Saccharomyces cerevisiae S288C: one gene and its partners. The gene in region 2 interacts genetically with the main gene of each other region. Each region holds a gene or a part of one and is shown on either strand. Other genes may lie near its edges.

Region 1 (7,933 bases), on a different chromosome or scaffold from region 2:
TCTAGGTCCACTACTGTTATAAAAACTATAAACCCTATCATTTCCGTAAATTCTTGAAAGCGTTAGTTTATGATGAACTTCCTAAAGAACCTGGCAAGGCGACCAATACCATATAATTTGCCGAAATACTAACAGTGATCAAGCAAAGCGGCAAAACTACTAAAGCACACCTGCTTAATCAGGAGACGTTATTCTCACATTGCGTCTTTATAAACTTTCAAAGCACGCTCCCTACTATGCTTTAAATCAACTAAAGGTTTTGGATAGTTTTCTGGACGCTTATTTTCGGAAGAAATCAATTCGGGAACCCATTGTTTGACGAATATCATTTGTGGGTCATATTTTTTTGCTTGTATATCCATATTAAAAACTCTAAAATATGGTTGGGCATCAATTCCTGTACTAGAACAAAAACCCCAGCCACCAACATTTGAAGACGAATCACCGTCTATCAAGTGTTTCATAAACCAGCGTTCCCCCCATCTCCAATCTATTAATAAGTTTTTAGAAAGAAAAGAAGCTGTGATCATTCTAGATCTGTTATTAATATAGCCTGTGTACAGTAATTTTCTCATTATGGCATCGACTATGGGAATGCCTGTATTACCAGTACACCACTTTTCAAATGCTACAGGGTTATTCTCCCATTTTATATCTAAAGTGTCCAATCGATAAGGCATTCCCATTGAGGTATATGGCCAGTTGCACATACAATGTCTGTAAAAATCTCTCCATGCAACTTCTTTGATGAAATTTTGGGTGGACGAATTATCTTTCAGTGCTTTTGACATTATTTGTCCGTTGCATGATTGAAATGCCTGGTTGACTATAAGTCTTGTGCTTATCCTACCAGTAGTTATATATACACTTAGCCCAGAGGTTCCACCCAAATATAGCATGTCTTTTTCATTGTTGTACTTAGAACTTTTTGTACCGAGGAAATCTTTTAATCTGGATAAAGCTGCTTCTTCAGAAACGTCTGGCAAGCACCATTTTGATTTAGGTATATATTGAAGGAATTCATCCGGTAATGAATATTGGAATGGCTTCAGTTCAAAAGTTTCGTTGTACTTTAATGGTTCGATTATATGCAAATGACAAATTTCAGAGGTACTCTTTTTGTAATTATTTACATATAGCACCCATTTTTTGTACCATGGAGTAAACACAGAATAGTTGGTGCCTCTGTCAGTAGTGATCAATCCAGGAGCAACAATGCAAGAGTCGTGGTAGTATTTCAATTGCAATCTATGGTCTTCATTTTCTAACAGCCTAATATCACGGTACAGTTCATCTGTTTGGTATTCTATATTAGCAGTGATTATCGTACCTGTTCCTGAACTTACATTCATACATTTTTCTTTGAAAAACTCCACGAACTCTTTTGAATTAGATAAGGTACTTTTTGGAGTGTGGAATTCCCACAGAAGAAGAGGTATGTGTAATTCGGCTAAGGACTGCTGCAAATTTTTTAACGCCCCCATTATAAACATCAATTTCCATCCGCTATCCATATGGGCTCTCCAATCATCTTCATTGATGACATAAACAGCATATAATTTGGCTTTTGCGTTTTTTTGCCTCAATTGCTGGAAGAGCGCAACACTTTTGTACAGTCCCACATTATCATATAAACGTAGATCATTTCGAAACCAGTGCATGACAGTGCTAACATTCTCAAACGACGTTTTTTGCTTCTTTTGCAGTTTTTCCACAATCTCCATTGGTTTAGCCCGAGACTTATTATTGAATTGATTTGCGCCTGTCCTAGTAATTGGCCTTGGATAATATTTTTTGTTCAACGAGTGGTATTGTTCAAAATCATGTTCTATATCCAGCCGAGATCTCTTACTAGCATATGCGTTCGAGGAAGATATTACCGTTCTTTTCATTATCAGTGCTGGTTGTCTGTTCTGTGAAACGAATTGTAAAGAGGAATAAGTGTCAAAGTAAGCATACTTTCACCCCTTAAGGTTTAATTTGACTGCTTCCTCGAAAAACGAGGAAGAAAAGTGGCGCCAGTAAAAGCGAGATATGTAGTTCGGGATAAAAATAATTGAATACGCAGTCATCAAACGTAATTGTTGTAGCTAGCATTATGAAGCGTCATCTTCATATCAATAACTTCTTTAATATGCTTATTGGATAGAAAGATTTATGGATTTCAAAAAGCTCCGATGATGATTCTGGATAGAGTTTTGATTTTGCATAAACTTCTAGATAACAATTTCGAGAAAAAACAGCTGTATCTTCTCATATTGTTAAAAAGGTGGGTTCAATTGACGGAGCTTGTTATATTATGCTTGGATTTGTTACAAAATACTTGCTAAGTAATATTAAAAGGATACTCTATGAATACAATCAGTAAAAAGATGTTGGTACTAGCGCCGGTGTTAAAATGCACACAAAATATACCATAATCTTGACTACGTAGGAATAAATCCTGTATAAAGTCAAACCAAAAACAACGTTACCTTGATCTTACTATTGCCAATAAGTATGAAAACCTCAGATTAATTATGGGCAATAATTGCGTATTGAAAAAAAATTGAAAAAATATGTGATGCGAAGTTCTAGCTAATATGTATGTATCTCATTTGGCTAGGTCGTAATGTCTCGGATAAATGCCTGCTCAATTGAACCTAAAGAGTAATCTCGTTTCATTCGACCTCAGTTGCCTGTATAACGTTCCTCTGGGTGTTACACGTCAAGTTATATTTTTCGGATTGGACGGATTGCGAAAAAATCCTTGAGTAATAAGCCACTAGATTGTATCCTACTTCACCATTTTCTATTTCTGTTTCTGTTTCTTTTTTTATTTTCTTTCTCGTTCTATATGCAGCAGATAATGGATTAAAGCTCCCTGACAGGCAAATTCCTGAGTCAAATCAGGAACGGTCGTGATACCAAGAGAGTCTGGCTTTGAGTGTTCTCCAATAATAAGATTGGAGCATTTTGACGTGGATCTAGGGAGTATATCGGAAAAAGTTCTTGTATAATGGCCAATTACGAAATCTGGAGCCTTACTTTTTCCTTGATCTGGTTTTTGCCTTTCCTTTTGGTTACTATTTGAGTAATTGAGCCTGTCCTCATCTAGGAACATCAATCGAAAATGATCGCTGTAGAATTTCACATGCCAACGAAAACGCATACCGTCCAAAGTGGAATATAGATCTCGCATATTACTTTGTTTGATTATTTGGTATTTTTTGACCGGCTGCGTTTTAGAAGGATAGAAGAAATCGTATTTAGTTTCAAAAAATCCTTGATGAGCATAAATTTCACAATATAAAATTTTGCATAAACGAAAAACTTTATCTTGACAAATAACTTTACAATCAGAGTATAAAGGCGGATCTTGCACCCCTTGTAAAACGTACTTGTAGATATAGAAATCCGGCGAGCTCCGAGTAATTTTGCCAATAACGTTATAACTTTGGACAATATGAAAAAGAGGAACACCTACACCATCCGCATCTAGAGTACTGATATTAAAGTTTGTCTGTTTGAATTTGTCATAGGATTGCTCACTTGAGAATACAAAATATCCTCTAGTCCCGAATATACTTGCAATGGGCATATTTCTCTCTCTGCTAAAATGGAGACGTTCAGGAATTGTGTTCCTTTGAGTCTTTTCAATTCTATAATTATCATCATCACTCAATGGTTGACCACTGAAACCACGCATTGTTAATTGGTTGTTTCTTCTTTGAATTATTATGTCTTGGTTTCTACTGCCCGCCTTATATACAGTAGCTCAGTGAAAGTGGCTGCTACAGTTTTTTCGCTGTTTCTATGTACAATGCCTTTGAAAAATTAAGAGGCTTACGAATGAACATGAGCCCCTGTTGCTGACAATGAAGTGATATTTCTATGAAAAGCCTCGCTTTTATAAGCCTTTATGACATACACCATAGGCGATAATCGGGGAGAAAGGTTTTCGTCAAGAGCTCACTATCAGTATTTTCTCAGTAATTCGAGATACCACTATCATAGAAACTTCAAACCCACTGTAAGTGATGCAAGTACAGTGTAACCTTCATTTGTTTGCGAATTGAAGTTTGATTAAATAATAACTTATTACGTAAGTATTTACGAGACATTTGCGTATCGTTGCCCGCTAATTTTCATCGAACTGGCATTGAATGAGAGTAATAAAGGAAGAAAGTTCTTAATTCACTCGCCTAATTTTCAACCTACCTGATGTATTACCCTTCACCGTTGACTGGCAAAACCTGGTTGAATATCGCTCCCTCGGAAAAATGATATCAATCCTGCAATGAGAGATTGTATATTGCGCATTTTCTATATCAAATAAATGAAGAAAAGTGGCAACTTTGACTCTGCAACGAAGACAGTTCTGAGATGAATGGCAGAAAGAACTGCAGCTTCGAAGAATGCTTTTCGGGAAGGTAAATGAATAGCTAGAACATTTTCAATTGGATACCCTGATGTAATGCAAAACTTTTGTTTTCTATCATGCCTAAAGTATCAATTCATATCATGATGAAAAAGGTAACTCTATGTAGCCATCCGTGTTTCAAGATTATGTTCTCGTGATTGACAACTTACGACAGTGGCGCTGTATATGTCAGATGCGACTGTATTGAAACGATCCACATTCTAAAGGGTGCTGCTTATTATTCCTCCGATAAGTACTGTTCCCGTAACCCTGATTACCCTTCGATATTTATTAATCAGGGAGGAAATAATAATAAAGCGAATAGCGATTTTATACTCATGCGTTAAATTTGTATTTTTGCCAACTCAATCTAAATGACTGCAATTTTTCATACCAAGAATGTTAGCAATGTACCCTTTTTTTAAGTAGTGGTGTGCAGTGAAGGATTGTTATTTGGCGATGAAAACTAATTGCAAATCCCCACAAATAGGATTTTTAAATAACAGTAAGGGTGAGGTGTAGTACCTTCGCCGGCTTATTAGATTCCCGCTGATTTTTAAGGACTAAATGCATTGAATATTAATGGAGTACAGTTATTTCATACAGTAATTAAACAAGGTCCGTGTTTTTGTGGTTTTGGTATTCGTAACAGGTTAGCATTGATAGGGCGGATTGAAATGCTACCAATTCTGGAATTCCTCCACGTATTCTATCCATTTGTCACCGTGTTCAAGAACTCTTTTTGCCGTCAACTCTCGTGTCTTGTCTACAAAGCCCTCTGACCCGCAACAAGTGACCAACAAAGATTTTGCACCACTTACTGCTTCTTCAATTATCTCATCGATATTTGGTCGTCCAAAATCAGTAATCATTTCCGCTGATTTCGATGTCGTCAGCAGTCTGCCTTCCGTGCTCATATTAGCAATTGCTCCCTCCTCCGTGTTCGATTCATCTTTTCGCTCTCCTGTGAAGTAAATTTTTGTGTCTATGTTCAACTCTTTTAGCACCATTATCTCTTTGCGATACACTTCTAAGAGATCAAGGTTACGTACACTCCACACAAATTTGATCATTTGATGAGAATCGTTGCTTTTGACCTGGCGACCTGCCTTTATTGCCATCGACAGAGGTCCAGGAACACCCGCCCCTCCGGCAATAAACAGGAGGCTTTCGAACAAATGTGTTCGCGTGCTTTGTCCATAAGGTCCTTCTGCTAGTACTCGCATTTCCGTGTACCCTTCGCTCTCTAAAAGGTATTCCTGTAATTTTTTGGTTAGCCCATTTTTCACTGTTATCACAACTACCAACTCACCATCCTCAACCAAAGAATCCATGACCGTGAATGGATGTGATTGCCAGAATATTTTTGGTCTTAAGAAGTACAGATATATATATTGGCCAGGTTCTGCTTTCCACCATTTGGAGCTTTTTGAGATTCTCACTTCTATCATGGACTCGCCACACAGTTTCAATTTAGCCCATGGCATTCCAAAAATTGCAATCTTTATTAGCCGCAGAATACGGTCAGCAATCCAAAACAGTGCACACGCCATTATCCATTCACCCCATCCAAGTTTATAGCAATGTTTCCAGCACGCATGGAAAAATCCTATTGCTAAGATAATGTGCGTAATAACAAACAATTCGTAATAATGTCGTCTAAAGAAGAAGAACGAAAAAAACACAAGTATTCCAACAATGATCATGGCATGTCTTCCGGATGTCCATAGATCACTATACTTCACGTATTTCCAGTAATTTTCTATGTATGCATGGTAGGTGTATCCTATTGCATGGATCGTACAGTCTACTAACATGAATCTTCCTAACCATTTGTGGTAAGTAATGAATGCGGTATATCTTATACCTGTGAGCCAAGTCATTGTGCTGTTTTTACCGCCAAAGAGAACTATCAAAGGAAAATGTGCGAATGCCAGGATCCCTGCCCTGTCGGAAAGGAAGATAAGCACTTGGCTTCTGCGATCACTGAGCAACTCATTATGGTCAAAATTGTAACTACTCAACAAGAACCCGTGCAACAAAACGTAACCGAATAGGACAAGGGTCTCTAACCTGGTAGGGACCAGACCGATGAAAAACCACCTTCCCACTGACATAGCATGGTTATGAACAAGCGCTGGAAGAACATAGTGGCCTCTTAAGAAAGCAGACACCTTGTTTTTGAACACCGTTTGTTTAAGTCGAGAAAAGTTCAAGAAGTGATATACAGCTGCAATAAACAGAACTCCTATCCAGTATAAGCAAATCGTCACTCCATAAACATTTCCTTTGTCTATATTATCCAGGGGCCCAAAATAAGCCCATACCCACCTATCTAGAGAGGCTTTATTGGGAGTGACGGGATATCGTATGTTTTCCTTTACCTCATCAAGAGGCCGGATGAAAAGGGATGCATTGGCAAAAATTCGATAATACTCCTCATTGCTGACGACCTCATCTTTGTGATAATCGTGGCAATACTGATTAATTTTGCTAAACGTTTTTTCGAATATTTTTTTACTTTTCTTCCTACTGTCGAGAACATCCTTCGCGCAATGTAACCAAGACCCTAGTGCTGGTTCATAAGTGCAAAGAGTAGCGTGCCGACCCTTCACATCCGTGTCAAATTTGTGTGATTCCAATTCTTTAGCACAAGCATCAATTGCTATCTGGTCCCATTGCGTTCTTTTCTTAGTTGATGCTGGTTTTGCTAAAGAACCTGGTGCCAAATACACCAACAGCAGCACTAATCTAGCGAAAAGCATTCGAAATCTGGGTGAATTAAATTAACTGCGACAAAATTGGTGATGTGACATACCGAAAACGCTACATTACACATTTGCCAAGTAAAAAATTGACGCTCCTTTTTTAATGATCGCTAATGTAATGAAAAGTAAAAATCCAATTAAACGAGGAAGCGGTAAAATATGATTGCTGTGTAGTAATGCCACAGTCTTCTTAGTCCTACCTATGTCCTAGATTTTTTTTTGCACCCTGTTTGTTCCGCACCCCGCTATCCCATATTTTTTGATGTATGTGAAGGAAAGCAATCTAAGGGCTCAAGAGCCGAGTTCCGCCATTCTAGGAAAGGGTGCAAAAAAATGGGGTTCAATTATCGTTCGAGATTTGTTATTTTTTTTTTTGTAAAAGTTGATTTATGGGGTATTTAAGCCAAGAACTATTTGAAGTATTAGGAGGTAATATGAATGTTCGAACAGATACAAACAAGTACTTCCACTCGCTTAAAAATAACTAATAACAATAATCCCTAAAATGAAATTCTCTTCCGCTTTGGTTCTATCTGCTGTTGCCGCTACTGCTCTTGCTGAGAGTATCACCACCACCATCACTGCCACCAAGAACGGTCATGTCTACACTAAGACTGTCACCCAAGATGCTACTTTTGTTTGGGGTGGTGAAGACTCTTACGCCAGCAGCACTTCTGCCGCTGAATCTTCTGCCGCCGAAACTTCTGCCGCCGAAACCTCTGCTGCCGCTACCACTTCTGCTGCCGCTACCACTTCTGCTGCT
Region 2 (4,764 bases):
GAAAAAAACATGTAAAATTGAAAGATAATATTAGTAATGGAAGTATAGATAATTGTATATAGTATTATAGATACATATATCAATACGTATGCATTAAGGACCCTATTTCATGGAGACCAATTTAACATCAAATGTCAATTCAGAGTTAGCAGGAATACCGGGCAAAGCTTGTTTACCGTAGGCATATGGAGCAGGAATGACAATTCTACGCTCACCACCGACCGCCATACCAGCAACACCGATGTCCCATCCTTTAATTACTTCGCCTTGGCCCAACTTAAAAACAAAAGGCTTACCCTTTGTATTCTTGTCAAAAACTTTCCCGTTCTTCAACTTACCAACATATCTCATTCCAACTCTGGTACCCTTTTTGGCATGTGGGCCTTTTCCTGTGACGCGGTCTTCAATGATAATACCGCCTTCCAGTAGCTTCGTCTTTGGCTTTGGTTTGCTCTCTTCCGAGTCTTTAACTTTCTCTGCTTTCTTGTCTTTCTTGGTCGTTTGTTTTTTCTCGGCAGGTTTAGCACTTTCTTCCTCATCTTCCTCATGTTTCCTTTTACTGTCCTTCTTGTTGTTTTTCTTCTTTTCGTCCTTTTTGACTAATTCATCAAGACGACTTTCGATGTCACTAGCATCTACTAAATCATCAAGATCGTCATCACCGGAACTTAGTTCCTCATCGTCCTCTTCTTCTTCTTCTTCTTCTTCTTCTCCATTGGAAGATTCTTCGTCACTGTAATAGTCTTCTTCATCTTCGTCTGAATCTGAAGAATTGTCGAATGGATGTTTGACGTAGTTACCGGTTAGAGAGATAGTGTATGAACCGGTAACGACGAATTGAACGTCTTCCTCTGGTGCAATGGTAATATCCAAAGCTTGTTGATATTGGCCTTTTGGAGATAAGGTTAAAAGAACGCATTCTTCGAATTCATCGTCGATTTCGTTTTCATCTTCAGAGTCTTCTGATTCACTTTGCTCGACTGCCTTACCTTTTTTTGATTTGACACTCCTTTTTGGTACATCTGCTTCTTGTTCACTTTCACTTTCATCCTCTTCGAGGCCGTCATTGTTATCTTGGTTGTAGTACTCACCGCGAGTGAGTTCAGGATTCCTTTTGATTATTCTTAAAGTAGATGGCTTTTTGTCATCGTCAAAGGGCTCAGGGTCGATGGCCGCCATTGTGATTCTAATGGTAACCGGAATTTTGAAGTTCAGAGCTGGGGTTGGGGAGTATGGTTCAACATTCAGGCTATACGTAGCCAATGGAAGCATATCAGACATGGTAGAGACGTATATTTTGTTGTCTTTTTCTTTTTTCTTATCATTCTAACATGAAAAGCACTTCTTTTAACACTGTAAAATTTTCAATGCCCTTCTCTTTTCGATGCACCAGCTAAAATTTTCACTGCCTCGGGTTTGAGATAAAAATATACATAGGGCATCGAAGGCAAGAAATTGAGAAATTTAACGTTCATATGGGTTAATGATTGTATGAGAATGTCTGACGAAGAATATTATTTTTGCTGAAGTTAAACTAAGAATTAGAATTATGACTTGATACACAATGCTACTTTCTTTTGGCCAAGCTATTTGATATAAAAGTATACGTAAATACAGAAAAAGGCAACAGTATGCAGGAAGTTATTCGTAGTTCTTTCGTCACTCGAAATAAAACGTACAACAGACTTAACTTTTACGCGTGTATTAAATATCAACGCACTAATCATACACCCCACTGAGGCAGGTTTAATCACAAAAATGTTGAGATTATTTGCCGCAGCAAACTTTAGCATCTGCACTGTAGTTGCTTCCCCAGCATCCACTTAGTATGGACAAATTGGGTTGTATGTTTACCTTTTACATATATAACATTATCGCTGGCAGGTTACAGAATTTATATGGTGGTTTTGAGAGAAGTTAACACATTGGGAGGACGACTCTGATTATACCTATTGCAATGGCTCGCTAGGACAGCATTTCCTCCACAGAGACTTTGCCTCAGTGCGGTTGGAGTAGACCATGCAGCTTCCAATGTAAATGAATAGATATAGCCTAGTGGCCCAGAACGGCGATGACCTGATCTTGAACCCTTAGATATTAATATTTATGATTTTTTGTATTTTGCTATGTAAGAGAAAAAAAAAATTATAGATACAAAAAGAAGGATATAGAAAAGCACAGATAATGTTGATAGGAAAAATGAATTAGAAGAGGATTAAACTTAGATTACATATCCACTTACCTTTCCGTTATTGTCAAACAGTATTTTCAGATCAACGCATTCTCTATCAATTCTCCTTGTTTTGAAATTCTATTTTAAATCATTTATAATTTTTTCAGTTCAATTTAGAATTTCAATAGGTGTGGCTTGTCACCGTTCTTCAAAGAGAAAGAAGCGGACAAATATTGCTTCAACAATGGGGTCTTCTTGATTTCAGCCAACAAAGCCTTGTCAACAACCTTTTGATCTTCAACACGTTCAGTCTTGATTTCCTTAGTTTGTTGTTCTGGGAACAAGTTAGCTTCCTTCTTTTCCTTCTTGGTCAATTTTTCCTTGGCAAAGTATTCAACGTTGAATTTTTCAACGTTGACACCTTCCACGGAGACTTTGGTAGAGGTAGCAATGACATAACGAGCGTTGACTCTTCTCAATGGAACACCATTGACCTTGAATGGACCAGTGACCAATAGAGTGTTGTCTTCTAGATGTTTCAAGTAGACAACTCTCTTACCTCTGAAACGGCCAGCTAGCAAGATCAAAACAGTGCCTGGAACTAGAGAGGCACGCAACTTTTGTGGGCGAACAGCCTTTCTGGTTTTCTTTGGGGCAGCAACGTCTTCGGAAGGATACCACTTTGGGGCCTATAATTGACATATCGTGATGTAAATCACATATATAGTTAGTATACTACTCGTTTACTTTTTTCTTGCACAATTGATGGTGGGCATGGCGTGTGCTGATTCAGCACAAGGTTTGGTACTATCCTCAAAAAAATTCTTAGCGTAGGAAGAAGTTTACTCAGATTAGCTATAATATGAGTTATTGTTACTATGTTTCTCAGTCATTTGATGCTATATTTTCATTTTTACTAAAATCGTTATTTTCATTTTGTCCAGTTTTGTCCAGTTCATATTTAAAAGGTTAGCTCCCTTCCTGCTTTTGTTCTTGGGTAACTATTTTCCTCTAGGCACGTGTGCCATCTCCATAACCATCACATCCTTCAATTTACTCATCTTTACACATACTTGTTGGGCAGTCATTTCGTTGAATATATTTGCTTCTCTTCCAAGTTCAAGAAAGTAGTCAAACCTAAATGAGATTTTGCTTGAAAATTATCTATTGACTTTTGATCAACTGCCATATTACAGGGCCTCGCGCCTACAACATTAATTGAAACTCACACACTCTATACAGTGCAAATGGGCAAGCACAGGACCAGAATGAGGTTTGTTTCCGCCCATGTGCTCCCTCTACCGTAAACGATGCTGAACGGAAGCGCAGCCTAGAAGGCCGACTTAGCACGGCAAGTCCAGGTTAGGCGAGGATATTACTCGCCGCCTACGGGGAGAATCAGCACATGGGGGCATCCTCCATCTGCGGCCGCCCGGAGGGGACGCATAACCACAACTATGTGTTTCACCGCCATTTTGCAGCTAACAACGATTTTTGAAGGCAAGAAAAAAAATTATGACCCATACATTTTGGTGCATGGGTGATATTTTGTCTTTATTATTATTAGTAACTTTCAGATTAAGACAAGGAAGAAAGAAGGAAAAAAGGTAGGACATGAAGCATGAGAGATAATCAAATTTGCTGAATGCTGTGATACTGGTATACAAATAGAAGTGCTGAAGTTCAAGTTATTTGGTAACATGCAAGTTTCATTAATATTTTGTTATTATGTATTTCAAGGACAAAATGAATTGTAGGAAGATGAAAAAGTGATTTCATCCCCCAACGATTCATACTCTGGGCCGTACCCTTCTTATCTTACAGACGCAAAGTCAGCAGATTCTTGTATTATGGAACTAAGTAATTTCCGCGCACCTATTGTTACGCTGATATCTGCGTACAAAGTGACGTATTTTTAAAATATCTTCGATATACTGCAAAAACAAAAGAACAATTGACCTCTTAACCCTTTAAGGTATGGCATAAAGAACGCTAAGAGCTAGCAAAAGAGTATACCATTCGGATCGTGTTGCTAAAGTCTTGCGAAGATGGAAGGCGTGTATTTCAATATTGACAATGGGTTTATTGAAGGTGTAGTGAGAGGCTACAGAAATGGGTTGTTATCTAATAACCAATACATCAACTTAACACAATGTGACACGTTGGAAGATCTAAAATTACAATTATCATCAACTGATTATGGTAATTTTCTTTCCTCTGTTTCCTCAGAGTCTTTGACCACGTCATTGATTCAAGAATATGCTTCTAGCAAGTTGTACCACGAATTCAACTACATAAGAGACCAATCCAGTGGATCCACGAGAAAGTTCATGGACTATATCACTTATGGTTACATGATCGACAATGTAGCATTGATGATTACAGGTACTATTCATGATCGTGATAAGGGTGAAATTTTACAACGTTGTCATCCGCTAGGTTGGTTTGATACTTTGCCTACGTTGAGTGTTGCTACTGATCTTGAATCCCTATACGAAACCGTATTGGTGGATACCCCACTGGCACCTTACTTCAAAAACTGTTTTGACACGGCAGAGGAGCTAGACGATATGAACATTGAAATTATTAGA
Region 3 (8,679 bases), on a different chromosome or scaffold from region 2:
TCTGAAAATTCATTCTCGTCCTCTAATGGAATATCTTTAACATCAAATGCTCTGATGTGAATATCGACTAACTTCGGGTATTTTCCTTCTAAAAATATGCTCTTCAGCCCATATATAAGCTCACCATATTCCTCCTGTTTTACACCGGAGTAGCCGATCGTAATATCATAAAGACTTTCAATACTTGGCTTCAACTTTTGTAACGAGTATCTTAGGCCTGTAGAATGAGGCAGTAGCACATTCTTGAATGGCTTTTTGCCTATTTTGGCAGCATATTTAGCACTTTTTTGCCTAGTATCAGCACTGAGATTTGTACCTTCAGGGAATAGGATAAGATTGTATGGCCAATGGATTTGTTTTGGATCAATAACCTCCGGATTCCATATGCTCTCTCCTTCCTCAGTTATGCGCTCAGGTGACTTTCCAGCAAGTGAGCCGGCGCCCCTTGCATTCGAATCAAGGCCAGCAAGGCTGTTGCTTAGGGTTATTTTGTCTTGTGCCCACTTTCTACTCATAAAAATGAAATTATAGTTTCTCATACCGAAACCGAGGATAGGAATGGAAGCCAACGATTTTTTTAAAATAATGAAGACATTAGCCCCTAAGTTCGATGTGTAAGCCAACCACCATAAAAATATCCAATCCGTGTATATTTGGTGATTGCAAATGGCCACCGAATTGGACTTTAGATGAGAAAGAATCCTTTTCTTCTTCAAGTCTAAAAAAAAAGTACCTTTAGGAACACTGGAATTTTCAGTGGTAATTCTCACTGCAGATGGTGCGACAACATGCAAAATGGATGATACCAAGACAATAAATAATCTTTTGGTTTTATTGAGACCAATTTGTTTCCTTATATCATTTCTACAGTAAAGAGTCTTATAGGTGAGTTGGAGAAACAAAAGAATAAGGCATCCCTGGAAGAAAATCAATAAGGAAATACCTGGGACGACGACTTTTCGAACTTTATGAGCTATTTTTTGATGCAGCATCAGCTTATTGACCTCGCTAGCAATCTCAATACCAGTGGACCTGATATATCCTTTTTTTTTGTTGGCTAGTGTTCATTAATGATCTTTCGCGTTTATATTTCTTTTTCTGATGAGTTTTTCGCCTCTTGAGATGTTGTTGAACATTATTTAATAATACTTTTAGCACAATAACGATTTACCATAAACTAAAGTAAACTATGTATGTGCCACCCTATGAAAAGTCTACAATGAAAATATTTACGCTTCCGTCTTATTAACCGATATGATTAATCAATTTTGTCGTACAATTTTTGTAAATCGTAGTTCTCTCTCCAGTAATCACCGTGCTTTTTCAGTATTATAAGTACACTGCTAGCACCCAAGACGATAAAGGCCAGCATTGTGAAAGCCCACCCAGTTCCCATACCGTTTAACATGGGTGTGGTGACAAAGACTGCGGTTGCAGCCAAGATTTGCCTTATTAAATTATTCAAAGCAACACCGGTGGCACCCTTTCCCGGCAATGAATCGACTAAATAGGAAAGGGTAGCACCAATTGTCATCATAGCTGCATATCCAAAGAGGGCTGTTCCAATTAGTGGCGTTACCCAGTGGCATTTTTTATCTAGGCACCAGCCAAATATCAATAGCGCAATGGGGAAAGATATTACAGATGTAACAACATTCCACGATATACGAGCTTCAGGAGCAAGAATTCCATATTTCTCTTTGTATCTTTTTAAAAGCATGTCCACCCAACGTCCACCGTAAATTGAGGCGAAAAAGTATGTTACAGAATTCGGAATATACAGTAGACCAATGTATAATGGTTTAAAGTTGTAAGGAGGCCTTGAATATTTATATTCAACTGTCATATTAACAAAGTATACTGTGGAAAAGGAAATTGCGGAAAATGTTATTGCAAGTGCCACGGGTGGATATTCTAGGAAGTGCAATGATTTTAAAGGCTTGATAAAATAAACAAAAAAGGTGTCCCAGACCTTCCTCACCGCTGATACCTGTTTAGGAGCGATTTCACCTCCATTACTGGATAGCACTTTTTTGACTTGCTCTTCCAGGTTGGTTTGTAATTTTCTCAGACTATTTTCTCGAATCGATCTCGCTAACTTTGGATCTGTTGATCTTATTCTCGTAACTTGTGCTGTTGTTGCATCGATACCGCTATCATCTAGCTGATATTCATACAGACTTCTACTCGCCTCTGTATAAATCCGTTGCAATTGGGTTTCTCCAGCTCGACCATCATAAGTATTGGGGCTAGAGTGACTTTCTAAATCTAGCGAGTCTTGATCCCTTACCTCTCCAACGTAGTTATGCTTCTCAGTAGATAATGTGGCAACTTGGTTTTCAATTCGATCTGTCTCATCTTCTCCCCTCTGATAATCTTCTTGTATCTCTCCACGTTCGTTATTGTCTACTTGAATACGTCTTTCAGCCAAAATTTGAGCGATAGCGCCTTTAGAATCTTGTTTTCTTAATGTTTCAGGTAGTAACACCGTCAAAAGAATGACATTACATCCGGATAAAATAACCATAAACCATTGAGTGGATCTCCAGGGCCAGCGATTCACTAACAAAGATCCAAAAATTGGAGATAGTAGCGGCGCCAGTAGTGGACCCAAATAGTAATAACTCAAATTTTTACCTCTATCTTCGCTAATATATAAATCAGCCACTGTTCCAGCACCTACACTTTGAACACTGGCAGAAGCAGCCCCACAGAGCATTCTCAAGGCAATAAATGAGTTGATATCAGGAGCTAGAGCAGACCCGATATTAAATGCAAACAATAATGCAAATGAAGTTATGTAAGTAGTTCTTCTGCCCTCTAGCTCGGATAGAGAAGACCACCACAATGGGAAAACACCAAGACTTAAAAGGTACACACCAATTGAAACGTTTACCATAATCACTGATGTTTTAAATTCTGTTGTGATTGAGTTGATCGCTGGAAAAATGATAGATGTGCCCATGGGGCCCATCATGGAGGAAAACGCAATCAAGAAGACAATCATCTTTTTCATCATCGGTGGATAATCTCTGGCATCCTTGAACTCCGGTATAATGGCGAGTTGAGGCAATAGTCCCCTACGTTGATTCTTTGGAACAACGTATTCCTCACTCTTCAACCTACTTAGCTGGTTGTCTCTGTGTTCACGACTATTTGATGCCGTACTTTCCAGATTGGTCTTTTCGTAACTATAATCGTTGTGCTCGCTGTGCGGGCTGCCGCTGCTTTCATCGCAGTGCATCATAACATGATTGTTCGGTAGTGAATTGTCAGAGCAATTACTCCTCAAAGACCCTACATTCGATTGTGAACCTTGGGCTTGCATGTTTATCGCTTTCTGACTTCGGTCCTAGCATAGACGTTAACAAGTTAGAAAGATGTGAATACATATGCCTTCAACCCTGTTTTCTTTTAAGGATACAAGGACACAGCTATTACAACAAATTTTGTTGGTTTCTATCTTATCTAATCGATAATCTTTTAATATTTTAATCTAATCGCAGTTATCCAAAACTGGAATGAGATGGTTCAAATCCCCAAAGGTAGATGGAGTTACTGCTGAGGCGTGGAAAAACCCGAGTTTTTCCGAAGCCGCATATGAGAAATTGAGCAGGAATAATAGATATTTACGAAGAGGTAAAAGTGATAAAAGGCAGCGCCGTGGCAATATCTATTTACAATGACTCATTCTGACTATTTAAAAGTATGTAAGGGCTTTATCTAGGCTTTGTGCCGTTCAGGCTTTTTGTATACACATGTGATAATTGTATTACAGCTTGTAAGTAATTCAATGAACGTTTCTACACCGGCTAAACAAGAATCCATTTTGCTCCATGGCTCCAAGTTTCCATCCTTTACTGTGTTCACCGGTTCTGAATTTGGAGAAAACTTGGCCATTGGAAACGATTTTTCGTTTATAGCGCCTGCTATCAGGCTATTGATCTCATAATAGTTGTACCCATATGCATTCTTAAACGCCACTTCTGATGGGAGAATAACTGCTGATAAAACAGCATTGATGCCTACCTTAGTCATGAAATTGGGTTCATTTGCTTTCAGTTCATTCAAACCTGGAATTGCCTTCAGTAGGGAGATGCCGTAACCTGGGATGAAACCTTTGGCCAGCCCATGACATAGGACGTTATTTAAGCAATTATCTATTGCATTTCTTCTTCTGTCGATTTCGATTTCGTTATGTCCACCAATGCTTAAAGTGACCGTATTTTGGAGGAAGGATTTCGGAACTTTATTTGGAATCGCTTCAGCATCAATGGAGTTATATAAGAATGCCTCCCCTGTGGTCGCTTTTATGGATTCGATACTGCCGTAATATTTATCCGCACACATTTTGCTTGGCACTAAAGGACTATATTCTGGTGAGTAGATGCTGTCATATCCGCAAGGCAACCGTAAGAACTTTATAAAATCAAGATTCTCCTGTGGCGCTAAGTCATTGTTCGCCTTTTTAGAGTACTTCAAAACCACTATTCGGCTTTCATTATTTTCTCTCTTGTTTCTGTTATTGTTAATTGTAACGGATGTTAATGCATCACCTGTGCAATCTCCGTTAACGATTAAGAGAACAGATTTTCTCAACTTTCTTGCATACGTTATCGTGGGTAGAATTTTATTAGCGTCTCGTAACGTCCCATCATACATAAGAACTAGCATATCTTTATCAATGGAAACTAATTTCTTAGTAGGCAACTCCAGGGACCTTAAATAGGCTTCATTACTATCTAAAATACCAGCTGGATATTTCCAACCCTTGGATACATCAACCTCATCGTAAGTTTTGTTGCCGTTTATGACCCGCACAATGTCATCCGAAAACAATTCATAATTAATGGCTTTCAAAACCCTTTTGATGCTTTGGCTGTCTGAGGAGGACATAGTCAATTGCTCGACCAGAGCATCAACATCGTTTTGACTTTTCACTATAATCTTGTTCTTCGCAAGAAAATCTCTGATATATCGTAATCCGGCCTTGATCCCATTGGTCACTTCTTTTTCGGGATACTTGAAATAGTGCTCCAGTAAAGAGCATGTCAAAGATGTTGAAGTTGCTGTTAAGTTGTCCTGAATGCAATCCATGAATAATTGTAGACCAACCCTCCCCAGCTTTCGAGGCCTGTTTGATTGAAGTCGTGTGTTGGTAGCTTCATCTACTTGTAGGGAATCTAGTAACTCACGCATTACATTGTGAAGTCTCATGGTATCATGAGAACTAACGACCTGTGGCTTGGATTTATACTTAGGTTCATATATCAATGTTTTATTGTAGGAGGATGAAGTTATTATTTTTTCCAACAGCTTAATACCAGAGAGCGTATCTCTGAGAACCTGAAGGTTTTTTGTTCTATAGATTGGGGTGTGTAACGTTTTTACCGAACATTTCGTTTGATGATTTCCCAATTTCCTCAAACAATTCCTCAGCATACTCGTTAAAGCATAAGAGAGTTTTATGTTTACAGTAGTGTGGGAGAAAATAACGCCAGGTTAAAGCTCGTAAAAGGTAAACTATCGCACTATCGAAACTTTTGTTTCACAGGGAATGGAAGAAAGGGCCTTTATTTTTTACATTTTTTTAAGCCATAACGGATTTTAGTTACCGAGATTTTCAATCCTATAAGAATTACCTAAACTATTAAAAGCGGACCCATCTAAAACATAACGTTCGGCAAGTAGATGTATTGTTCCAAAAAGGCAATACATCCATACAACGGTGCCACCGATCTGTAATGAATGCTCCGTAATGTTTGGGGGATTCATTAAATTTACTGCTGGAACCGAGAGAGAAACACGACAGAGCAATTCATATAAATGAATAAATGAAAACTCGGTCGTATTGCCCTTAAACGTTTATAGGACCAGGTTGGCTACTTCCTCATCTCAATTTTGTGATAGGGGAGGTCTGCGTAAGGAATCAATTCGGATACCTTGGTAGTACTTTTAGGGGCACATTTTTTATTTCTACTTCTTGTATTATTAGGTATCACTGAGATCTATCTCTAATGATGCCTTCACTCCCACAGATAGCGGAAGACATTAATGCACTTCAAATCAAAACTTCTTCAACTAAAGCTACTCTTTTCGAACGCAGAAGATATAATTTCATTCCTAGAGACTTTCTACGAACCTAAAGTAGCAAATTTAAAAAAATAAAGAGTTTGATCCAACCGAGGTTCGAACTCGGGATCTTCGCCGTGTAAAGGCGACGTCTTGAACCACTGGACCATTGGACCCGGAACTCGATACTATGTCATTTTTGGATATCGGTTAGTTGTATACATTGGATATCTCATCTAAAAGCATTACGCATGCCCTATAACTGGTAAATTCAATGAATGTTTTGTAAGTTGAGGGGATGCTAATTCCCTACGAAGTATTTCTATATTATGTGCAACTACATCAAGAAGATAATATTAAAGTTGTTGGAATAAGAATCTGTTGGAATGGAAATCAACTATCGTCCATCAACTATAGTTATACTACTGGTATTATCATATACGATGTTAGATGATGACATAAGCTATGAAAAAACTGCCATTGAAGTTAAAGGAAGCTGAAATGCAAAGATTGATAATGTAATATGATAATGAAACATTTAAAACGGAATGAGGAATAATCGTAATATTATTATGTAGAAGTATCGATTCCATTCGAGGATTCCTATATCCTCGAGGAGAACTTCTAGTATATTCTGCATACATAATATTATAGCCTTAATCAATAAAAACCCCAAGAATTACCTCAAAATTCACCAATATCTCAAAATCAACCTTCATCTGTCTACCAGTAGTCATATTATTATATGTTATCATATACAGTGTAAAAAAGATGATATAAAGATTGAAAAACAGTCATCAGATGTTTGGGAAGCTGAAATAAAATATAGTAGGACAATGGGTGACAATATATAAAATGGAGAAAGAAATAGTAGCCTTATTACGTAAAAGTATCAATCTCTTTTGTAAATTTTTGTATCCTGGGGAAGAACCTTTATCATATTCTCTATTCCTAATGTTATAACCTTAACAACAACGAAATCCCAAAAATTATGACAAAATCCACCAATATATCAAAATTCACATAAAGAAAGCCGTATTCTATATAACATTGCAGAACATTTTTCTAACACATTACCAATCGTCAAAGTTCTGCCTTTACTAAATCAGGTGCTGAATTTTGAATCATATATAAATAGCCAAGTAGTTTGTGCGGTCGATTCCAACGCCGCTTATAATCCTATTCCAGCAATATTAACAATGTAGTCTTAAACTGATATGGTAACGACAGATAGAAGATAGCTGACCCATATTCAACCAAATATCTTGTCTAGAAAGGCGCATTTGATAGGCAAAAAATTGCACAGGCGTATTATCTTTGTATGCTAATGCTTTTTTATGTTATTCACTGAATACTAACTATCAGTAGTTGATTCCCTCTTAGCTACAAATGCATAACTATATGTATAATCACGTAGATAATGTATTGATGTAAAGTGAAAACAATTTTACAGAGTATTGGCAGTTAAGTGTTGTTTTTTCGCTCAAAAAACATCCTCATCAAGCGATATAATTTGTGCCCCTTGACTACTTATACCTTTCAGTTGCCTACCAATGTTTCTTTCCGTAGCTCTCATACTAAGTATGATATCAGATTTATCATTAACGGAATCTTCGCATTCAACAGCCGCAAAATCCAAAGGATATTCTTCAGAATAGTACTTGCTTAGTTGCTCTCCTCTCAGTCTATAATTTTCTGCTTCATTTCTCTGCCTTTTATACTCTGTATATTGAAAATAATGTAAAAATTGGGCTACACCTACTGTGTCACACTTCGAAGCTCTCTGAGACTCCTCATCATGCTGTGAATTCATCTTTGTCTTTAGAATTGACCTCATTTCAGTAGTCGAATAACCACTTTGAGTCTCATCTTTGTTTAACTTTTTAGATTTTTTGTAGATTAAAAGACGTGAGTTTTCATCAAACCTAACACTTGAGGTACTCCGATCCTTTATACAAAGATCTGTATCCATTTCTGAAATGTTTTCGCTGTCAGATAACTCTGCATCTTCTTCGTTATCAACATATGGATTGAAAGCATCATAGAATCTTTTATTTCTAAAATTCACGCATCTTTTCTTTTTTTGATGACTTTTGATCAAATGCGTTAAGTTATCTTGGCTTAAATCAGCTTTACCAACTTTTGAAAGAATTTGTGATATATTGGTCCTATTAGTAAGGCCGCGAAATGTGGGGATAGTATAAATTTTACTACTTCCACTTGAGCTTGTATCAGATAAATCGGAAAGTTCCTCAGATTCAACTGGCTCGAATGTGGTCTCTACATCATCCGAATAGCTACTGCTCGCATCATCTATGTCTTTATCCAATGTATCATCTTTTAAGGCCGAGCTCACTTCAATTGGTTTTTCCATTGCGTCCACCGTGCTAGTATTAGAGTCTGGTATGACCACATTTCCCTCTTTCTCAGTGGTAACATCGTTTATTGAATCCTCATCCATATTTCTGTATTCGTTATCACTTTCATAATCGGAGGCACTGGAACCAATTTTGTTAGAGGGAAAATCTACTTTTTCAATTAAAAACGAATCCGTGGAGCTTAATGCTTCAATTCTTTCTTGAACTTCTTTGGTAATGTAAATGGATG
Region 4 (7,704 bases), on a different chromosome or scaffold from region 2:
ACGTAGATTTGATGCTTATTGATTAAGATGTCAGAAGCTTGCTTAGCCAAATCAGCATTACCAATCAACACTGGGACGATATGAGAAGGATTTGGAATAACTGGAATGCCCAACTCATGGAAAGCTTTCTTTACGTACATGGTATGTTTCTGTTGCGAGGTTCTTAGGTCGATGTGGCAACGTTGGTATCTAATTGCTGCGGTAGCGCCTGCCATAACTGAAGGTGGTAAAGTCGTGGTGAAAATGAAACCAGGTGCAAACGATCTGAACCAATCGATCAATTTCCTAGAGGCTGCGACGTAGCCACCTACGCTACCGAAAGACTTACCTAAAGTGCCGGTGATCATGTCGACACGGTCCATCACAGTCTTCGCGCCGCCCTTGTCATTGGTCTTTGGGGTAGCAATACCACTTGCACGGTGACTTTCAAAATCACAATGTTCTGCAACACCTGCACCGTGAGGGCCGTACAGGCCGACCGCATGTACTTCATCCAAGAAGGTCAAAGCACCGTATTTGTCGGCCAAGTCGCAAATTTTTTCTATGTCGGCCACTGAACCGGCCATAGAATATACTGATTCGAAAGCAATTAGTTTAGGAACGGATTTGGGGTATGACTGGAGCAGTTGTTCCAATTCGTTCAAGTCATTATGTTTGAAAATGTGTTTTTTTACGTTAGCATGCTTAATACCGACAATCATGGACGCATGGTTGAGTTCGTCGGAGAAAATCACCAAGTCCTTCATCTTTTGACCCAGTAGGGATAAGACGGCATCGTTGGCTACGTAACATGACGAAAAAACTAAGGCACCTTCCTTCTTGTGTAAAGTGGCCAATTCGGCTTCCAGATTCAAAGTGGGGATGTTATGGCCAGCAATGTTTCTTGTACCACCGGCACCACAACCATACTTGTCGATAGTTTTATGCATGGCGTCCAATACCTCAGGGTGCTTGGAAAGTGCTAAATAGTCGTTGGAACACCAAACGGTGACCTTGTCCGCCTCTCTCTGGCGATGAGCTAGGGGGAACTCCTTGGCCAATCGGTTGATATTGTTGAAATATCTGTACGATTTGTCAAGTCTTTTCTTCTGCAGTTCGGAATCTATCAGGCCTTCGTAATCGAAACCCGACTCCTGGGTGGAATGGTTGGCAGCAGCGGCTGCTGCTGCTGCTGCATGTGTTGATGACGCTGTGGCAGTGGCAGCAGCGGCACCAGCACCAGTAGCGGTGGCATAGCCATTTTTCGCATGTGGTGCGGCTGTCGTGGACAGCCTATTCAGTGTGGAAACAGCGGCAGAGGAGTTACCGAACCTCGCAAAAATGGAGCGTTGCATACTGAAAAAAAAACCTAAGTACTGTTATGATTATTGAGGGACAACAACTAGCTCTATTAGTTTTCCTTCCAACCAAACTTATATGGGCAATATATAGGAAAGAAAAAAGAAAAGAGTGGGATAAAAAAAAAAGAAACGCGAGCTGAGAAGGGAAGGCGTGTAAAGGAAGAACGGTTGAGAGACAGCAGAGCAGGGTGCAACACACAACCGAATAGAGTATCAGCTGACGGAATGGAGAAGTTTGGTATGATGCAAACGTTGTATTTCTAACAACGCATGGATCAGAACAATGGGCAAGGCAAGATGAAAAATTTCCGTTCCTGCTCTTTCTTCATATATGAACAATGACCAAAAAGCGCCCGCGGCCGCAGACCAATGAGCGACGAAGGCGGCCTTTCCGAGCGGTAGGGTAAGCCGTGCAGGCAAGCTTATTATAGCACCGTCGGGGGTACCACCACTATATCAAACTCCACTGCTCGGTAAAGCATTGTAGTGAAGTCCACAGCAGTGCGTAACGAGCAGCTCAACAGTTAATATAAAGATGCGTTGGTGGCCGTGGTCAAATCAGACAGAAGATCAAAAGCAGCAGCAACAACCGCAGGGTAAAGCAGATGGTGATCGCGTGCTGACAAATTACTCGCGGGGTCAAAAGATCCTCTTAGAAGACACTCCACCCAAGTTTGCCGATGACTTGTCCAATTCTCAGTTGGCCAAGAAGCAAGAACGGGCTACTTTGAAAGAGGCTTGGGACTCGATCAGATGGAGTGATTTTAGTTTGCAGAAGCTGACTTCAATCCCGTGCTTCAGAGACGCGGGCATGCTCGGGTTTTCCAGCATGTTCTTGATGGGATCTATTATATTTATATACCATAAGAGCCCGACTAAGGCCACGAATTGGGCGATGAGCTCTCTGATACTGGGCTCGATTGTCGGATGGGAGCAATGTAGGCTAAAGAGACAAAAAAGTTTCCAGATCGCACAATTGGCAAAGGAAACCGTGGCGAAAAAGGAAAAACCAATGCTCCATAATGTCCCTCATGACCCATCTCTGCCGGGGCAATGGGAGGCCGCCAAAAATGAAAAGCAGAGTCAGTTTGAACAAAGTAACCAGAATTTATCTCAGGCCTCCTCTGAGAAGAAATGGTACAAGTTCTGGTGAAAAGAACGAGGGGGAAACAGAAGGTAGAAGCAGGGCCTTTTAACCGTTTTCCTATGTATATATGCAACATTTCTCCGAAAATACTATAACTTCAATTGTTCACTTTCTCCATTTCTATATAAAAAGCATACATAGAGTTACAAATTTTATATATTACTTGACTGGTCTTGCATGCCGTCCGTATCGCTGCTGTGATTGTCATTATCTTCTTTAATGGACAATTGTTTAAACGTTTGTGTGGTTTCCTCGGCAGAGTTTCTCGTAGGCGGTAAAGAAAATGAATTTTCTGTTCCCATCAAATTGTCTGTATCCTCATCTTCGCCATTTTTGCCGCCGCCATTGTTTCGTACCCCGTCCTTGTTTGAACTTGACTGTGAATGATTCGGTGTGGATACCGTTGAGGACCCCTTGGATTTGGGTAAAGATGTTTTTGATGTGGAAGGTTGGCTGGTTCCTTCTAGTAGTTCATTGAGCACCACGTCATTCCCACCCGTTTCCTCATCGCTGTTGTATGCTTCTCCAGCAGTCTCTCCATCACCACCGATGGTCCCGTATGGCCCATCTGCTTTTTTGCTGAAGGGGTCGTCTGCATCACAAAGTAGTTCGTCTAGCCCGCCTCCAGACCAACCTTTCCTTGCAATATTTTCAGAAATTTCCACTTGTGCCCTAGATACCGTGGCAACTTTGCTGAGTACTTTGTTGCATGTATTTTCCACAAGTTCGTATGAATCCATGTAAAAATCGTGCTTTAGTGTCTCCAGTTGATCTAACCTTGCTTGCAAGCTAGAAAGGCTCTCTCGGTATGAGATTAAATTCCTTATTTTTCTTTTCGAGATATCGAAGTTATGTCTTTCCTGCAATTTCAATTTTAAACTTTGCTCTTTGCTTTGTGCTTTGAACTTGTTCTCCATTATCTTGGTCTGTAATTCGAATTCATCAATATCATCAATTAAATTATCTCCCAACAAGTCATTGAAATACTTTGACATTATAAGCTGATGATTAGATAAAAGGTAGAATAACCCACTGGCACTCAATAGTTTCTCCGCCGTTTCATCATTGCAACCCTTCAACTTGGCAATGTTTTCTAAGGAATGGGCAATTTCTGCCCCATTCTGAGATGTCTTTAATAACGAATCCGAATAAGCATTCGAGTTCCTGAGTAATGTCGATAGGGCTTCCTGGGTCTCTTTCACATCTCTCTTTGTGATTAGCGTTTGCAAGTCGTTTATTGTGCTCGTACCAGAAGTTATGCTCGATGCCCGACGGGCCTTTGAATACACTTTGGATGAACGTAAATGGTTCATGTCGTCCAGATGGTCGTTATTTTCTGAGCCAGCACTGCTAGCCACTGGTCTTTTACTATTTACAATTGGGTAAAATTCAGATAGATGAGGCGCGTATCTGTCGGGAGAGACGTCAAAATGGTTACCGTTGTCCCAGTCAACCCTCAGTCTCTGGTCACTTGAAGGAGATCCCTGCAATTGCTCCGTATTATTGTCAGGCATATCCGATTTCTCTTCCTGTTACTTTCTTTAACAATATTTTATTCCTTGGTGAAATTTAATTGACCCTTTATTCAGAATATATACTTCTATTGTATGGATATGGTTTTTTTCCACTTAATGTTTAGCATAAATTTCCATCTCACCCTTTTCTTGTAACATATCGCCCAATATTTTTTTCTTTTGCCCGCATTGACCATTTTTTCCTGTAAAACGAGTAATGTGAGCAGTAGAATAAGTGTATATCATCCGTTAAATAAGGCGCAATCTACCGAAGTTTGAGATCTAACTCAAGTTTTTATAAATTAGATACGTTTTTCCTTACTATTCTACATGAGATGGCCATTAGCATGAGATGACTTCAATACGCACTTCTGTTGGAACGCAGATAGGATGTTTACACTCGTCTGCTCTATTCTTTGTACTTTCAATAGAGCAAAGCAAGTGGTACCAATGAAGAGAAGGCCCAGCTGTTTTATTCCAGCGGCGAAGAAGTCTAGCCTATTCCTAATGTATTAGTACAGCTATACAGAACTTTCTCAGTCTAATTTTTGATGTACTTTTATACATAGATTTACACACTTTTCAAAACGTACTTACGTAGTCGGTTCAAGGGATACACCAATTTAGCCAATGAAGCTGGGCCCCAAGTGATCAGAGTTTCGTAATTGAGCTAGGATTTGCTGCTTTTTATTCCCTTTATCACCAAATGGTATTACCTAGTGCATCTAAGTTTTAGTTTACCCGGGCGAATTTTTTTTAAGGACTCGACGCATTGGATGAGAACTTGGCCTAAGGCATGGGAAGAAAGCGAAATTTCAAAAATTAATGAGACAATGTTGTTCTACTGTTAAGGGTTTAGTAGTTTAAAAGTCTCTCTTTCAATTTTGCATTGCAAAGAATTACCAGGACAATTTTCGGAGCAGTTAAGAAAACTGTACTTGAAAACACTAGGTCTATTTGTAATACTCTCTTTTCATTATGGATCACGACACAGAAGTTATAGTCAAGGATTTCAACAGTATTCTTGAAGAATTAACTTTTAACTCGAGACCCATTATTACCACTCTCACGAAGTTAGCAGAAGAAAACATTTCGTGTGCTCAATATTTTGTTGACGCCATTGAGAGTAGAATTGAAAAATGTATGCCTAAGCAGAAGCTATACGCTTTTTATGCCTTGGACTCCATTTGTAAGAATGTTGGCAGCCCATACACAATCTACTTCAGTAGAAATTTGTTTAACTTGTACAAAAGAACATACTTATTGGTGGACAACACCACAAGAACAAAACTCATCAATATGTTTAAGCTTTGGTTGAATCCTAATGACACCGGCCTGCCTCTGTTTGAAGGCTCAGCACTGGAGAAAATTGAACAGTTTTTAATAAAGGCCAGTGCTCTCCACCAGAAAAACCTGCAAGCAATGTTACCAACTCCGACTGTTCCCCTCCTATTAAGAGACATTGATAAATTAACTTGTTTAACTAGTGAAAGGCTAAAGAATCAACCAAATGATGAAAAATTAAAAATGAAACTGTTGGTTTTATCTCAGTTGAAACAAGAACTGAAAAGAGAAAAACTAACTCTCAATGCTCTGAAACAAGTTCAAATGCAACTAAGGCAGGTCTTCTCACAGGACCAACAAGTTTTGCAGGAAAGAATGAGGTATCACGAACTTCAGCAGCAACAGCAACAACAGCAGCAACAGCAACAACAACAACAGCAGCAGCAGCAGCAGTATCACGAAACTAAGGATATGGTCGGTTCTTACACACAAAACTCTAATTCAGCGATTCCATTGTTTGGAAATAATTCAGATACAACGAACCAACAGAATTCTTTATCTTCCTCTCTTTTTGGTAATATTTCTGGCGTTGAATCTTTTCAAGAAATTGAGAAAAAAAAGTCCCTAAACAAAATCAATAACCTCTATGCATCTCTTAAGGCTGAAGGGCTCATATATACTCCACCAAAAGAATCCATCGTAACGCTTTATAAAAAGCTAAATGGACACTCAAACTACTCTCTTGATTCACACGAAAAACAATTGATGAAGAACCTGCCAAAGATACCCTTATTAAATGATATTCTTTCTGACTGCAAAGCTTATTTTGCCACGGTTAACATCGACGTTTTGAATAACCCATCCCTGCAGCTGTCCGAACAAACTCTTCTTCAAGAAAATCCCATCGTCCAAAATAATCTTATTCACTTATTATACCGATCCAAGCCAAATAAATGTAGCGTGTGTGGTAAGAGATTTGGCAACTCAGAAAGTGAAAAACTACTACAAAATGAGCATTTGGACTGGCATTTCAGAATAAATACAAGAATTAAGGGATCACAAAACACAGCAAATACAGGCATAAGCAACTCTAACTTAAATACAACTACCACAAGGAAAAATATTCAATCAAGAAACTGGTATTTGAGTGACTCTCAATGGGCAGCCTTCAAAGATGATGAAATTACCTCCACAAAGCATAAAAATGATTATACTGATCCGCATGCCAATAAAAATATCGATAAAAGTGCCCTAAATATTCACGCTGATGAAAATGACGAAGGCTCTGTAGACAACACTTTAGGAAGTGATAGAAGTAACGAGTTGGAAATACGGGGAAAATATGTTGTTGTACCAGAAACTTCACAAGATATGGCCTTCAAATGTCCAATTTGTAAGGAAACCGTTACTGGCGTTTATGATGAAGAATCTGGTGAATGGGTTTGGAAAAATACTATTGAAGTGAATGGCAAATATTTCCACTCGACATGTTATCATGAAACGTCGCAAAATTCAAGCAAATCTAATAGTGGCAAGGTCGGTTTGGATGACTTAAAGAAATTGGTCACAAAATAAGAGCAGAACTGCATATATACATTTAAATTTAATAACTATATATTATATTAAATTCTTTGTTCTTGGTATTTGATGGGTTGCTCATTTGTTTATTTTTTTTTTTTTTTTTTTTGCTTATGTGTCCATTATATTATATGTAATTTTACATATGTAGCCAAAAGCCCAACTAATCATTAAAATCGATTAAAGACCGTAAAGTAAATTGTTCATTATAGAAGAAAACGACAAAGAAAAACAGGGTACACTTCGTTACTGGTCTTTTGTAGAATGATAAAAAGTCAATACGGTTTTATCTCCTTATTCACTTGAAAATCTTTTTCCATCAATTTGTTAATTTTAGCATCTTTTTCAGATATTTGACTTCTCGCATTTTCAAGACATTTCTTTGTAAAAGTTAAATCACCTTGAAGTGAAGTTATTCTAATTTCATTCCTCATAACTTCATCTGACAAAGACCGAATAATTTCATTTGCAACAGCCAATTGTTTTTCCTTTTCATCCAGCGCCGATGCTGCTTTCGACAAAACGATATCCACAAAGGAAAGACCATCTTCTTTCATGTCCTTCGAACATTCGGTGACACTATCCTTATTATCAATTTCAAGTTCTGTTTTTTGGGTTGATGTGTACATATTTGATTGTTGAGTACCAGTTTGTGAATGTGTTCCTAAAACGTCAACACTAGTTAAAATTTCTGTTGTATTACTGTCTGTTATATCGTCGAGTTGTTTCACTCGACGATCTTCAACGATTGGAACCCTTTTTCCAACAGAAAAATAGCCGTAGGACGCAGGTCTTGAGAAAGAGAGTGAGATGTTTTCTGATGCGTGCTTCCCATTTCCAG

Evidence for each region.
Region 1: mutations in RPL6B (region 2) and YOR385W together harm fitness less than expected from each alone (positive genetic interaction), as found in Saccharomyces cerevisiae (one large-scale study listed by BioGRID).
Region 3: mutations in RPL6B (region 2) and TCM62 together harm fitness less than expected from each alone (positive genetic interaction), as found in Saccharomyces cerevisiae (one large-scale study listed by BioGRID).
Region 4: mutations in RPL6B (region 2) and COX20 together harm fitness more than expected from each alone (negative genetic interaction), as found in Saccharomyces cerevisiae (one large-scale study listed by BioGRID).

The regions. Positions count from the first base shown.
Region 1 is NC_001147.6:1,060,798-1,068,730, reverse strand, and holds YOR385W (uncharacterized protein), read right to left. Parts: upstream 3,689-7,933; coding exon 2,816-3,688; downstream 1-2,815. Other genes in the region: deoxyribodipyrimidine photo-lyase PHR1, read right to left, coding at 195-1,892; FRE5 (putative ferric-chelate reductase), read right to left, coding at 5,083-7,167; FIT3 (Fit3p), read left to right, coding at 7,676-7,933.
Region 2 is NC_001144.5:1,027,351-1,032,114, reverse strand, and holds RPL6B (60S ribosomal protein eL6 RPL6B), read right to left. Parts: upstream 3,262-4,764; coding exon 3,247-3,261; intron 2,863-3,246; coding exon 2,347-2,862; downstream 1-2,346. Other genes in the region: peptidylprolyl isomerase FPR4, read right to left, coding at 103-1,281; VMA6 (H(+)-transporting V0 sector ATPase subunit d), read left to right, coding at 4,222-4,764.
Region 3 is NC_001134.8:320,618-329,296, forward strand, and holds TCM62 (Tcm62p), read right to left. Parts: upstream 5,443-8,679; coding exon 3,724-5,442; downstream 1-3,723. Other genes in the region: CST26 (putative acyltransferase), read right to left, coding at 1-992; QDR3 (Qdr3p), read right to left, coding at 1,259-3,328; protein phosphatase regulator GIP1, read right to left, coding at 7,556-8,679. UniProt on the Saccharomyces cerevisiae protein: Chaperone. Required for the assembly of succinate dehydrogenase subunits. Ensures mitochondrial gene expression at elevated temperatures and prevents heat-aggregation of the ribosomal subunit VAR1.
Region 4 is NC_001136.10:921,082-928,785, reverse strand, and holds COX20 (Cox20p), read left to right. Parts: upstream 1-1,875; coding exon 1,876-2,493; downstream 2,494-7,704. Other genes in the region: HEM1 (5-aminolevulinate synthase), read right to left, coding at 1-1,334; IVY1 (Ivy1p), read right to left, coding at 2,640-4,001; PCF11 (Pcf11p), read left to right, coding at 4,980-6,860; chromatin-silencing protein SIR4, read right to left, coding at 7,139-7,704. UniProt on the Saccharomyces cerevisiae protein: Involved in the assembly of the cytochrome oxidase complex. Required for the maturation and subsequent assembly of the mitochondrially encoded COX2, the precursor of subunit 2 of cytochrome oxidase.